2 linked regions of the Mus musculus genome follow. The protein of the gene in region 2 interacts with the protein of the main gene of each other region in a pairwise test. Links are inferred from orthologs where the notes say so. Each region holds a gene or a part of one and is shown on either strand. Other genes may lie near its edges.

What was found. The genes of interacting proteins can lie anywhere in the genome.
Region 1: the proteins of Keap1 (region 2) and Mad2l1 interact in binary tests that used the Homo sapiens proteins (3 or more experiments, as listed by UniProt). The two-hybrid records come from large-scale screens. The link is inferred for Mus musculus from reciprocal best matches to the Homo sapiens genes KEAP1 and MAD2L1.

Annotation. Positions count from the first base shown.
Region 1 is NC_000072.6:66,532,743-66,538,768, reverse strand, and holds the start of Mad2l1 (mitotic spindle assembly checkpoint protein MAD2A), read right to left. Parts: upstream 3,549-6,026; 5' UTR 3,243-3,548; coding exon 3,170-3,242; intron 2,812-3,169; coding exon 2,665-2,811; intron 1,201-2,664; coding exon 1,080-1,200; intron 1-1,079. UniProt on the Homo sapiens protein: Component of the spindle-assembly checkpoint that prevents the onset of anaphase until all chromosomes are properly aligned at the metaphase plate.
Region 2 is NC_000075.6:21,231,790-21,237,355, forward strand, and holds part of Keap1 (kelch-like ECH-associated protein 1), read right to left. Parts: coding exon 5,282-5,566; intron 2,285-5,281; coding exon 1,599-2,284; intron 114-1,598; coding exon 1-113. UniProt on the Homo sapiens protein: Substrate-specific adapter of a BCR (BTB-CUL3-RBX1) E3 ubiquitin ligase complex that regulates the response to oxidative stress by targeting NFE2L2/NRF2 for ubiquitination.

The DNA.
Region 1 (6,026 bases), on a different chromosome or scaffold from region 2:
CTTTAAGGCTGATCTTAGTATCTGGTCCTTCTGTGCATGGTAAGTTTCCCAACCACTCTCAGTAAGCATATTTTCAGTAAGTCTTTAACATAAAGGAAAATGGATTCCAACAAATTAACTTGGTAGAACTTTGGTATTTTGCCCACATGCACATTTATGTGCACCACATGCATACCTGTTGCCGGGGATCCCCTGAAACTGGAGTTAAACAGAGTTGTGGGCTGCCATGTGGCTGCTGGAAACTGAACCTGGGTCCTCTAGAAAAGTAGCCAGTGCTCCCAACCACTGAGCCATTTCTCCAGCCTAAATTTTGACTTTTTTTTTTAAAGGTAACATCTAAATACCGGATTCCTGATTGAATCAGGTAAAATAAATTACATACAAATGTTTTTATAAGCTAACGACTTCCTATAGATTGAAGACTTCAGAAACAAACTGCTCTTCATTACAGTACCTTCCAGAAGCACATGCTTAGCATGATAGGCATTTCTGATGTAGAGTGCTTGCAATCTTTAGTTTACAAAGTTCACGGCAATAGGGGAAGTACAGTAGAGCTTCATCTAAATTAGGAATGAGTCTAGGATCATCTCCTGTACGTTTAAGCCAGTGATTACATGGCCCACATATATTATATTGTGAGAGGTTCAGGTATAACCACAAACACGAAGGCCTAATCTCATGGGGTTTTCCCAAAGGCAGTATGCTGAAAGTATCTTATCTACACAATCCCTGACAGGCTATGAGGAACTCAGAAATCCCTCACAGCTGGGCGAGGCGGAGCACGCCTTTAATTCTAGCACTCGGGAGGCAGAGGCAGGCAGATTTCTGAGTTCAAGGCCAGCCTGGTCTACAAAGTGAGTTCCAGGACAGTCAGGGCTATACAGAGAAACCCTGTCTCGAAATACCAAAAAAAAAAAAAAAAAAAAAAAAAAGAAATCCCTCACAAGCTAACAAAAGAACAAAAGTATCTTTAAAAACATACCATAGACAGTAACTGTAAGAAATCAGTTCAATACAATGTGAACTCATGCAACAACATAAAAACAAATTAAGGTAGGAATAACTCAGCTCATACTTACCCTTCCTCTTTTGCAGTTTTGTCACACTCAATATCAAACTGCCATCTTTCAAGGACTTCACCACTTTCAATATTTGAGATGACCACCACCAGTTTCTGAACTGAGCACTTGTACAGCCACTCTGCAACACACAAGGCAGCGCTCAGACTCTAGCCTATGACAGAGACTCTCTTCCAAAGACCCACTCTCGGCCTTACAGAACTCTCACAATTGAACTTCCTTTCTTGCATAAGGAAGACAATTCTCCACTAATAATTTAGCTGAGTTTTAAATTCTCCATATTACTAATAGGCAGAAGGCAGAGCATCAGAACCGTGAACCTGTACTTTCTCTGCAATTCCCAGTGAGAGCATATGACATATACTCATCTAACCACCGCCAGTCACATCTGTGGTGGCTGGTCACAACAGAGACACTATAAGAGCATAAAAAATCGGACTACTCTGGTAGGTGAGGGAAAGATTAGTTTTTACACTAACTGTACAAAGGAGAGGCAAATACAGGTTTTAAATGGGAAGGGCATGCATGCACGCCTGCACACACACACACACACACACACACACACACATGTATATACATGCATACATGGGCAGACTAATTGAAAAGTAAATTCTTTTCAATAAAGTAAATAAATTACATAATTATGAAAAGTCAAGATGCTATGTCATATAAAATCTTACAAGTTAAATTAATGAAACTGTACTTTTAAGAATCAGGAAAGCCACAACTGTGTTTTGGACAGAGTGACCAATTAGCCTTGTGTTTCTAAACTATCATCCTTGCAAGTAAGTGAGCTGCAGGGGGTAAAAGGATCCACAGATACCAGAATTCAAAGCAGATCTTATGCTTAAAAGCCCTGCCGTTTTTGCCTGTGAATTCATATCCAACCTGCACAAGTGTTGATGAATACTCTACTATGGATACAAATAGCAAGGCATGTTTAGAAGTCTGGCCTTAAACTGGACACAGTGGCAAATGCCTTTAGTCCCAGAACTTGGGAGTAGAGCCAGGCTGATCTTTGTGAGTTCAACGATAGCCGGGTCTACATAGCATGTTCAAGGACAGCCAGAGCTACATAAAGAGACCTGTCTCAAAAGCAAAGCAAAACAAAACGGCCTTAAAGACAGATGCCAAGCTAACCATGTTCAGGTGGCCACCAAAAGGCCATTTTAATACTGAAGTTAACAAAAAAAGCAATAAACACTGTTAATGAATTTACAATTAAAACAAACTACAACACCCTTTCACGTACAATAAAACTCAAAGAGAAAAAAAGGCAGTTGCAATGCTTTTAGAATTGGTATTTTGTATGATTTCATTGGGAGCTACAAAGCAAAACACAGAATGGCGAAATCCTTTTAATCGGGTAAAATTTCCAATTTGCTGCAACTGGTTAACCTACAAAACCCACTCTTAAAGCAGCTTAAAGATTCCTAACATCAAGACATTCAGCCTACTTAAAAAGAGGTGGGGATTCCCTCCATTGCTTGCTTCCTCCCAGTTGAGAATGACATTTGAGAAGGCATGTTGCTTTAAGTTACTTGGGACACAAACCTGTAAGATCACACACTGAAAACGTGATTACCTTTTAGCTGTTCCACCACATTATTGAGATACTTTATGAGCTCGGGGTCAGTAGTTGTAAGCAAGGTGAGTCCATATTTCTGCACTCTAGTAAAGGTTTCCGACGGATAAATGCCACGCTGATACAAAATGCTGTTGATGCCAAATGCTGAAAACGAAAGAAATAAAGCCGTAACCGTGTAATAACGTTTAAGTCTCCCAGAAAGCAGAGTAGGCACAAAAAGACACGGAAAACCTTTAACCCAGCAATGTCCAACTTCGCAGGTTTGCTAAGTGTAAATACAGAGCATGTGGTCAGAGGATGTCAACACAGACCCCAGCTTTCAGAGAGCGAGTAAGATGATGACCCAGGTCAGCCCCGTTAGGTTCCAGGAGGCCCAGGCCTGCGCTGGGTGGTGCAGCGTTCCCCGCCCCCGGGAGGATCCGTGGTTCCGTCCTAGCGCGCGTCCTAAGGCCCGGCTCAGCCTCAGCTCTCTCTGGCGGCGGGGGCTGCGCTCAGCACTCACAGAAAAACTCGGCCACGATTTCTGCGCTCCCACGCAGGGTGATGCCTTGCTCTCGGGCGAGCTGCTGTGCCATCACTAGATCGAACGGAGAACACTACCAACCTCACCGCAGACGGCGCCCTAATGGCTTCTAAGCTATTCCCCGCCACCCGGTTCAAAAATAACTACGCAGCCCGCCGGTTGCTCGGTGCGCAGGCGTAATGAGCCCTAAGCCCCACCTACGTCGCCAGTTTCCGGCTGGCTTTGTAACTCCGAATCCCTCCCTAAGGCCGCCTCAGGCTTCCGTTTTGTTCCCTAAGCCCCTCCCACATTAGAGAGCCGGGTCTCTTCAACATTCCGCTCCACATCGGCTCTTCCGCCCTATGCCCAGTTGCACCACGGGTTAAAGCCCCGCCCAAAGCGACTTGTATCCGGCCCTGGCTCCGCCCTCGCTGGCTGACCGAATGAGCAAGCGCAGAGTGGTTGGGGCGTCTTGTTCCAGGTCCTGGTGACCTACAAGGTCCGTACTGTGCAGGACCTCGGATGAGGTGACCTAGAAGCGGCCCAGAGATGGTCCTGAGATTACCTGCCTGTCAAACCCGTGGTCTGAGCATCCCTGAAGCATGGTCTCAGCTTCGAGGATAGTTTCAAGTCTGGGAGAACCTGGTTTTTGGTTTTGTTAAATATGATGAAGGGAACTAGGTGGGACAGAAGCTTAATGATGCTTGTCACCAAGTAGAGAAGCGAACCCCTGCAAATTGTGTACACACACACACACTAATAATCATTTAGTAATGTCTTTATTTTTCTATACTACATAGATTTTATAAGTCCACAAAGGATTTAAATGATAGAGACACTTGATTTCCTTTTTTTTTTTTTTTTTTTTTTTTTTTTTGCAATTAGCTTGCTTTTAAGTTTTTAGTCATATGTACTTTCTTTTTGATCGTTTAAGGCCTATACCAGAGCATGTACGATTACATATGGGATTCATGCTACAGTTTTAATATTGTACAGTAGTATTGTGTCCAGGAGATGGCACATCTTCCAACTATGCTAAATGGTTCTAACTCTGGTACTCAGACTGCATTTTGAAACCAGTTGACTATTAGAGATACTATCATATGCAGGTTTAAGAAGATGGCTCAGTGGGTAAGAGTGACTGCTGTTCCGAAGGTCCTGAGTTCAAATTCCAGCAATCACATGGTGGCTCACAACCATCTGTAATGAGATCTGACGCCCTCTTCTGGTGTGTCTGAAGACAGCTACAGTGTACTTATATATAATAATAATAATAATAATAATAATAATAATAATAATAAATAAATCTTTGAAGAAGAAGAAGAAAGAACAAGGAGAAGAAAGAAGAAGGTTTAGAGCCTGAACTAAACAGATGCCAGGGAAGTTGTATAAACAATACATCAGAGAAAGAAACTGTGACATATGAGGAGGAAAGAAATGGTGGTATAGATAAAAGTGAGGTACTAGCTCTTTCTTACCAAACGGTGGTTGGACTTAATCTAATTTATTTCAGAAACATTAAAAGATCTGGAATCTTTGATGGTTGATTTCTTTCCTATTTCCTTTTGACTGCGTGGTTTAACATTACCTCTCTCCCCATTTATTAAAAGCAATACTATAAAATACTTGAAAAATTCTCAGTTTCTCATATTTACTTTGACTCACAATTTTGTAGACTCTTGCTGTGTATTATTTAGGGTAAGAATGTTTGAACAGGGAGGAATAGAAATTGACCCCCCCCCTTGGTATTAAAATAAGTATTTTTTTTTTCTAAATCTAGAAGCACATAAAGTTTGAGGCTGAAGAAATCCATTAATGACTTAATCAAATTATAGTATAGTAGATCTAGAGTGGTTGCACAGTTAATTCAAGATCCAGTTTTTAGTTAGTGGCAGATTTATTAGAGAATGTATACTCCCTAGTTTAGTCTCCTTTTATAGCATATTTGTTTGAAAAATGCAAATGAGATTCCTTATTGTTGTGGTTATGATTTGAGAAAAAGTTTACTTGATTTGGGCTAAAAACATTTACTTATTAACTAATAACACACACAACTTGTCAAGAAATTTTGCAGTAATAAACCATAAAGAATTTTGTGTGGATACACATTTAATCCCAGATACCAGAAGAGGGCAGTGTTTAACCACACAATGCAACCTTTGAAAAACAATGCAAATGAAGGCTTCAGTGCACCAAGGGAGAAAAAACAGAGATTAATAGTTTCTAGGCATTTGTGTGTTGATAGTGAACCGCAGAATGACATGTTGAATTGTAATATACTGCGGATTTATATTCTCTTTAGAATTTAAAATATGTGCATCATACGTATTGGAAATATATATAAATAAGGGTCTTGAAACTAAGCGGTTTATTTTAAATATCATAGAAAAATTTTAATCTGCTAATTTTTTCTTAAAAATAGTATTTTTACACACTAGAAATGTTATTATATGGGCTTAAGTATTTTTTTAATTTTTTTGTCACAAAACTTAGTGTTACTTGGTTTCTTTTTTTGTATTATTCTTGCAGTAGGCTTTTATGTATGCCATGCTGGCATCAAGTTTTTTACGTAGCCAATTATAGCCAGTATTTCTTAGCTTTCTGCTTCCACCAACGGAATGCTAAAATAACAAGTATATATCATCCTGCCATATTTATTCAGTGCTGGGAATTAAGACCAGGACTTCTTCAAAAAGTACTCTACCAACTGAGCTACCTTTTAACCCCATAGTTTTGTCTTACATTGAGTAATTTTCATTTTATGTGAAGAATTAGAATTAAGTCAATCATTTCTTAGGGCTTACTTAGTATGCGTAATGGGTACACATATATTACATGTCTTTAATGATTAAATTGT
Region 2 (5,566 bases):
CGTCAAAGCCCCCCACTGCATACAGCAAGCGGTTGAGCACTGCCACGCCCACGCCAATCCTCCGTGTCAACATTGGCGCGACTAGATGCCACTCGTCCCGCTCTGGCTCATATCTGCAAAAGACATAATACCCCGTGGTCACCCGTGGTCAACCCTTACACCACGGCCCTCCATCTGCTTGCACATTTATTTTTAGGTTTTTGTTTGGTTGGTTTTTTGTTTGTTTTGAGATAGAACCCTGCTATGTAGTTCAAGCTAGCCTTGAACTCTCCGCGATCTCCTGCTTTAGTCTCCCCAGTGCGGAGAGATGAAGGATGTGCAGCACCAGGCCTGGCTCCAGAAGTGAGGGGTCATCAGAATCCAGGTTCACTGTCATCAATTATGACTGACAGCAACAGCAATTCCCTCTAGCCTAGACGGCTTTACCCCTTAGGGCTGCAGCACCTGTGCACTTCACCCCTAGCAGGATTCATTGCCTCACACCACAAGATTTGCTACAGACATGTGGGGTAGGACATCCAGGGTCACTAAGTGACATCTGGGCAGGTGTTCAACTCCAAATGTCTAACTGGGTCTCCCAGGTGGTTCTCTGAGCAACATGATCAGAGATGGGTGAACACGCCCCATTAGCCCAGCAGCGTCCAGTCCATCCCTGCATCCTACAGTCCTTGAAGGGGCCACCCTATTCACAGACCACACACATTAGAGCCCCTAGCACATTTGTTTACATTTCCATTTTCAGGCATGGGCGGGGTTAGCTTGGGGTAGACAGCTGACCTAGCAAGCATAGATTTCTAGGTTCTATTCCCAGCACTACAAATACAAAATTAAAATTTTTTCTCATTTTCTTACCCTTGCTCCAAGCCCTAAATTTGTGTGTGTGTGTGTGGGGGGGTTGTTTGTCTGTCTTGAGACAGGGTCTCTTATATCCCAGGCTGGCCTTGAACTTGCCATACAGCCAAAGATAAATATTGAATTCCTGATTCTCCTCCCTCTACCCCCAGAGCGCTGGGATGACAGCTGGGTTTATGAGGGCTTCCTGAACGCGGGGCAAGTGCTCTGCCAACTGAGTCACACCCCCAGCCCTTTTTCTTCTTTTCCCTCCTTCCTTTTGGCAGGGCTGGGGATGAGACCTTAAACCCTGGATTCAAGAAAGAGACCAGAGGACTGGAGAGATGGCTCAGTGGTTAAGAGTACCAACGGAAGGTCCTGAGTTCAAATCCCAGCAAACACATGGTGGCTCACAACCACCCATAATGAGATCTGCCGCCCTCTTCTGGTGTGTCTGAAGACTGCTACAGTGTACTTATACACATAAATAAAATCTTTTTAAAAAGAAAGATACCAGAGCACTACCACTGAACTACATCCCCGTTCAGATGATACCTTTTAAAGTAATTATAAATTGCACAATATAATTCACGTATTAGAGTAATTCCTACTACCCCCAGTGTGCAGCGGTGGTTCCTGTAGGTTTGGGACAGCCCCCTCCAGTACTTCCCAACTCTGGACACTGAGAATGAACATCCCAGCCGCTCAACCTCATATGAAGGCAGGGACAAGAACAGGTACCGTCTCTTTGGGCCCCCGGTGCTCACCTCTCCACGCTGCTGTGGTGGATGCAGCCGTGGGAACCCCCGACTGCGTAGATGTGGCCATCTATGACCCCCACCCCGATGCGGTTGCGTGGCACGCTCATAGAGGCACAGGGCGACCACTGGTTGGTCATGGGGTTGTAGCAGTCCAGGGCGCTGGAGTCAGTGTTGCCATCCGGAGAGTTGTTGCGGCCGCCCACAGCGTATAGCAGCCCACCCACCACGCAGCCTGCCAGCCCACTGCGCGGCACCTGTAGATCGGCCAGGCGCAGCCAGGAGCCATTGCTCGGGTTGTAGGCCTCCAGGTAGCTGAGCGACTGTCGGAAGTAACCGCCCGCTGTGTAGATGAGGCGGCCCACTTTGGGCGCGCGGCAGGGCACTGCCTGCGTGGGCTTGTGCAGCGTGAGCTCCTGGAATATCTGCACCAGGTAGTCCTTGCAGCGCGCGTCGGCCTGCAGGATCTCACACTTCTGCAGCTGCGTCTGCAGGAAGCGCGGCGTGAGCGCATGGCAGCGCACGGCCCGCAGCAGTGCCTGCACGTAGAAGCGCCGCTGCGGGCAGTCGTATTTGACCCAGTCGATGCACGCGTGGAACACCTCGGACTCGCAGCGTACGTTCAGATCATCCCGGCTGATGAGCGTGGCCAGCTGGCAGTGTGACAGGTTGAAGAACTCCTCCTGCTTGGCCACCTGCAGGGAGCTCAGGTGAGAAGGGAAGCCCTCCATCCAGGCCGAGCACCCATACACCGGGGGTCACACAGGCCACACACTGTGGACTCTTTAGGCTCCTGTATTGATTTTAGTTTTAATTTTTTTAAAAAAATATATATATAGCTAGGTGTAGTGGCACACTCCTATAATCCCCCATATCAGGGGAGGCAGAGGCAAGAGGATGTCTGAATTCAAGGCCAGATTGGTCCCCATAAGCCAGTTCCAGACCAGCTAGGACAACATAGTAAGATCTTATATCAAAATAAACAATTGAACCTAGTCTGGCCTTTAATCCCAGCATTGGACTAATATTCACTTGGAAGGGAGAGGAAGATGTCTGTGAGTTCCAGGCCACCTGTTCTACATAGTTTTTAATTACATTTACTTATTGGCTTATTGTGTATGTGTGTGAATGTACTCATGTCTGATGGGGGGGGGGTCTCACCTTCCTGGGACTGGTCTTCTGGCTTGGCAGTGAGTGCCTTTACTAGCTCAGAAAGGCACTGGGTTCTTAATTTGTTTATTTGTTTGTTTGTTTATTTAACCCCAGGACTCATATGCTGGAAGAATCAACTCCTGCAAGTTGTCTTCTGACCTCCACATGAACTGTGGCACACACATTGCCCCCTAAATCAATACAATACAATACAATTTTTAGATTAATAAAAATAAAACATAAAATGACTGGCAGTTTACAGCTTGGCACTTGTTTTTTTTCAGATGTAGGAATATTTTACACAAATGATGAGACACCTAAGGAATAAGAGTATGGTATAAACAACTTCACTCGAGCCATCAAGGCCCATGTCAAGTCTCAGCACTTGGGAACCTGACATGTGAGAATCTTGAGTTTCAGACAAAAGCCAAGGGCCATGACAACCTGCTATCTCAAAAATCTAAATAAATAAACAAACTACTTTTATGCTGGTCCATATTGACCTTACACAGCTTCAAGGCTCTCTCTCTGTGTGTGTGTATGTGTGTGTGTGTGTGTTTGTCTGTGTGTAACTGGCCTGGAACTTTATGTAGAGCAGGCTGGCCTCACAGATCTGCCTGCCTTTGCCTACCCAGTGCTGGGATTAAAGGTGTGCACAGCCACACTTGGTTTATGTGAGGTGGGCATGGAACCCAGGGCTTCACGCATGCTGGGAAAGTGTCCTAGCAATCCAGCAGCACATGGGCCCTCTGAAGATGGTATGCCCTATGCACAGTGTGCCTGTGCGGTCACTGCCACCCATCTGGTGAGGTCAGGTGTGGACGGCACATGGTGTTCAAAAGCCTTGGGTGCACTTCAGAGTTGGTGATATTCAGAATGCAGTCGTGTCCAGGGGACTTTTCTAGTCACTGCCACCCAAGAGCAAGGCTTTCCCCAGCACTGTCCCATTACTTTCTCTTGCAGACTTCCTGCACTGAGAAACGAAAATGAAAGCAATACCAAGTGAACCCAGGGAAAGCCAAGCAAAGCTGGAGCCTGCATGGGTGAGGCTGGCGGGTGCTGGTGCCTGCCTGCTCATCACACTTTGCCCTGCTCTGGAGGAGATCAAGACAGGGTTTCTCTCTGTAGCCCTGGCTATCTTGGAATTCCCTTGGTAGATCAGGCTAGCCATGAACTCAGAGATCTGCCTGCCTCTGCCTCTGCCTCCTGAGTGCCGCCACCACCACCACACACACACACACACACACCACTTTTTTTAGACAGAGTCTCGCTGTGTAGCTCAGGCTGGCCATCACAACTTTTAACCCCAGGGAGATCAGGCTGCTGAGGCACTGGGAGGGCACATCTTTACCTATTCCTAAGGGCTCTCTGTATTTGGATTAGGGGCTCAGAATCTGAGTTTTTGGGCCAGCAATGTGGCTTTGTGGGTAAAGGCACTTTTCTGCCAGGCCTACCTGAGTTTAACCTAGAAACGTATATAAGGTAGCGAGAGCCACCTCCTGCAATTTGTCCTCCGACTTGCACACAAGATCAGTACATGTATACACACACAAATAAATATAATCTTTTTTTTTTTTTTAACTTCTTCAGAGTTTGGTGTTACTCAGCACTCAGAAAGTGACAGCAAAGACAGGACTTAAAACAAAACAAAACAAAAAGCAACTTCAATAGCCAGGTGTGGTGGCACATGCGGCCTTTACTCCCAAAGGCAGGAAGATCTCTGTTAGTTCAAGGCCAGGCTGGTCTACACATTGAGGTCCATGACAGACAGGACTGTTACCCTGTCCTGAAAAACAAAAATAAATAAAACAAAAAAGCTTCAGCTAAAGAAGACTGTCAAGCCAGGTGTGGTGGCGCACGCCTTTCATCCCAGCACTTGGGAGGCAGAGGCAGGCTAATTTCTGAGTTCGAGGCCAGCCTGGTCTACGGAGTGAGTTCCAGGACAGCCAGGGCTACACAGAGAAATCCTGCCTTGAAAAACCAAAACCAAAATAATAATAATAATAATAATAAGAAGAAGAAGAAGAAGAAGAAGAAGAAGAATACTGTCAAAAAATAAGACCACAGGTGCTCACAGTTGAGGGTACTACTGGCCTCTTCCAGAAGACTCGAGTTCAAATCCCAGCACCCACATGGCAGCTCACAACTGTCTGTAACTCCAAGGTCTGACACCTCACACACAGACAAACATTCAGACAAAACGCCAATCCACAGAAACTAAAGGCAAATAATTTTTTAAAAAAGATTTAAAAACAAAAGTAAAATCAAGTTCCGGGGCACTGCTGGCCTCCATTCTATTAAGTATTGGGAGGGCGAACGTCTGTAACTACAGTACTCGACAGACTGAGACAGGAATCAGGAATTTAAAGTCATCCTCAGATACCCAACCAGATTAGGGCCAGCCTGGACTACATGAGACCCTATGGGAGAAAAGAAGGAAGGAAAAAGAAAACACCCAACAGTTTTCCTCCAGCCTGTCGCAGGGGAGAACGCCACGCTGGCCTATCCCACTTCTGAGCCCAAAGCCCGGCTTCACTCACCTCCCCGAAGTGCATGTAGATATACTCCCGGGCACGCTGGTGCAGTTCAGTGCAGCCGATCTGCTCCGCGAAGTTGGCGATGCCAATGGCGTTGCTGGGGTCCAGCTGCTGCACGAGGAAGTCGCTGCAGGCTCGAACCACGCTGTCAATCTGGTACATGACCGCCCCGTTCATCACGTGCAGGACACACTTCTCGCCCACGGAGATGGAGGCCGTGTAGGCGAACTCAATAAGCCTTTCCATGACCTTAGGGTGGATGCCTTCGATGGACACCACCTCCATGCC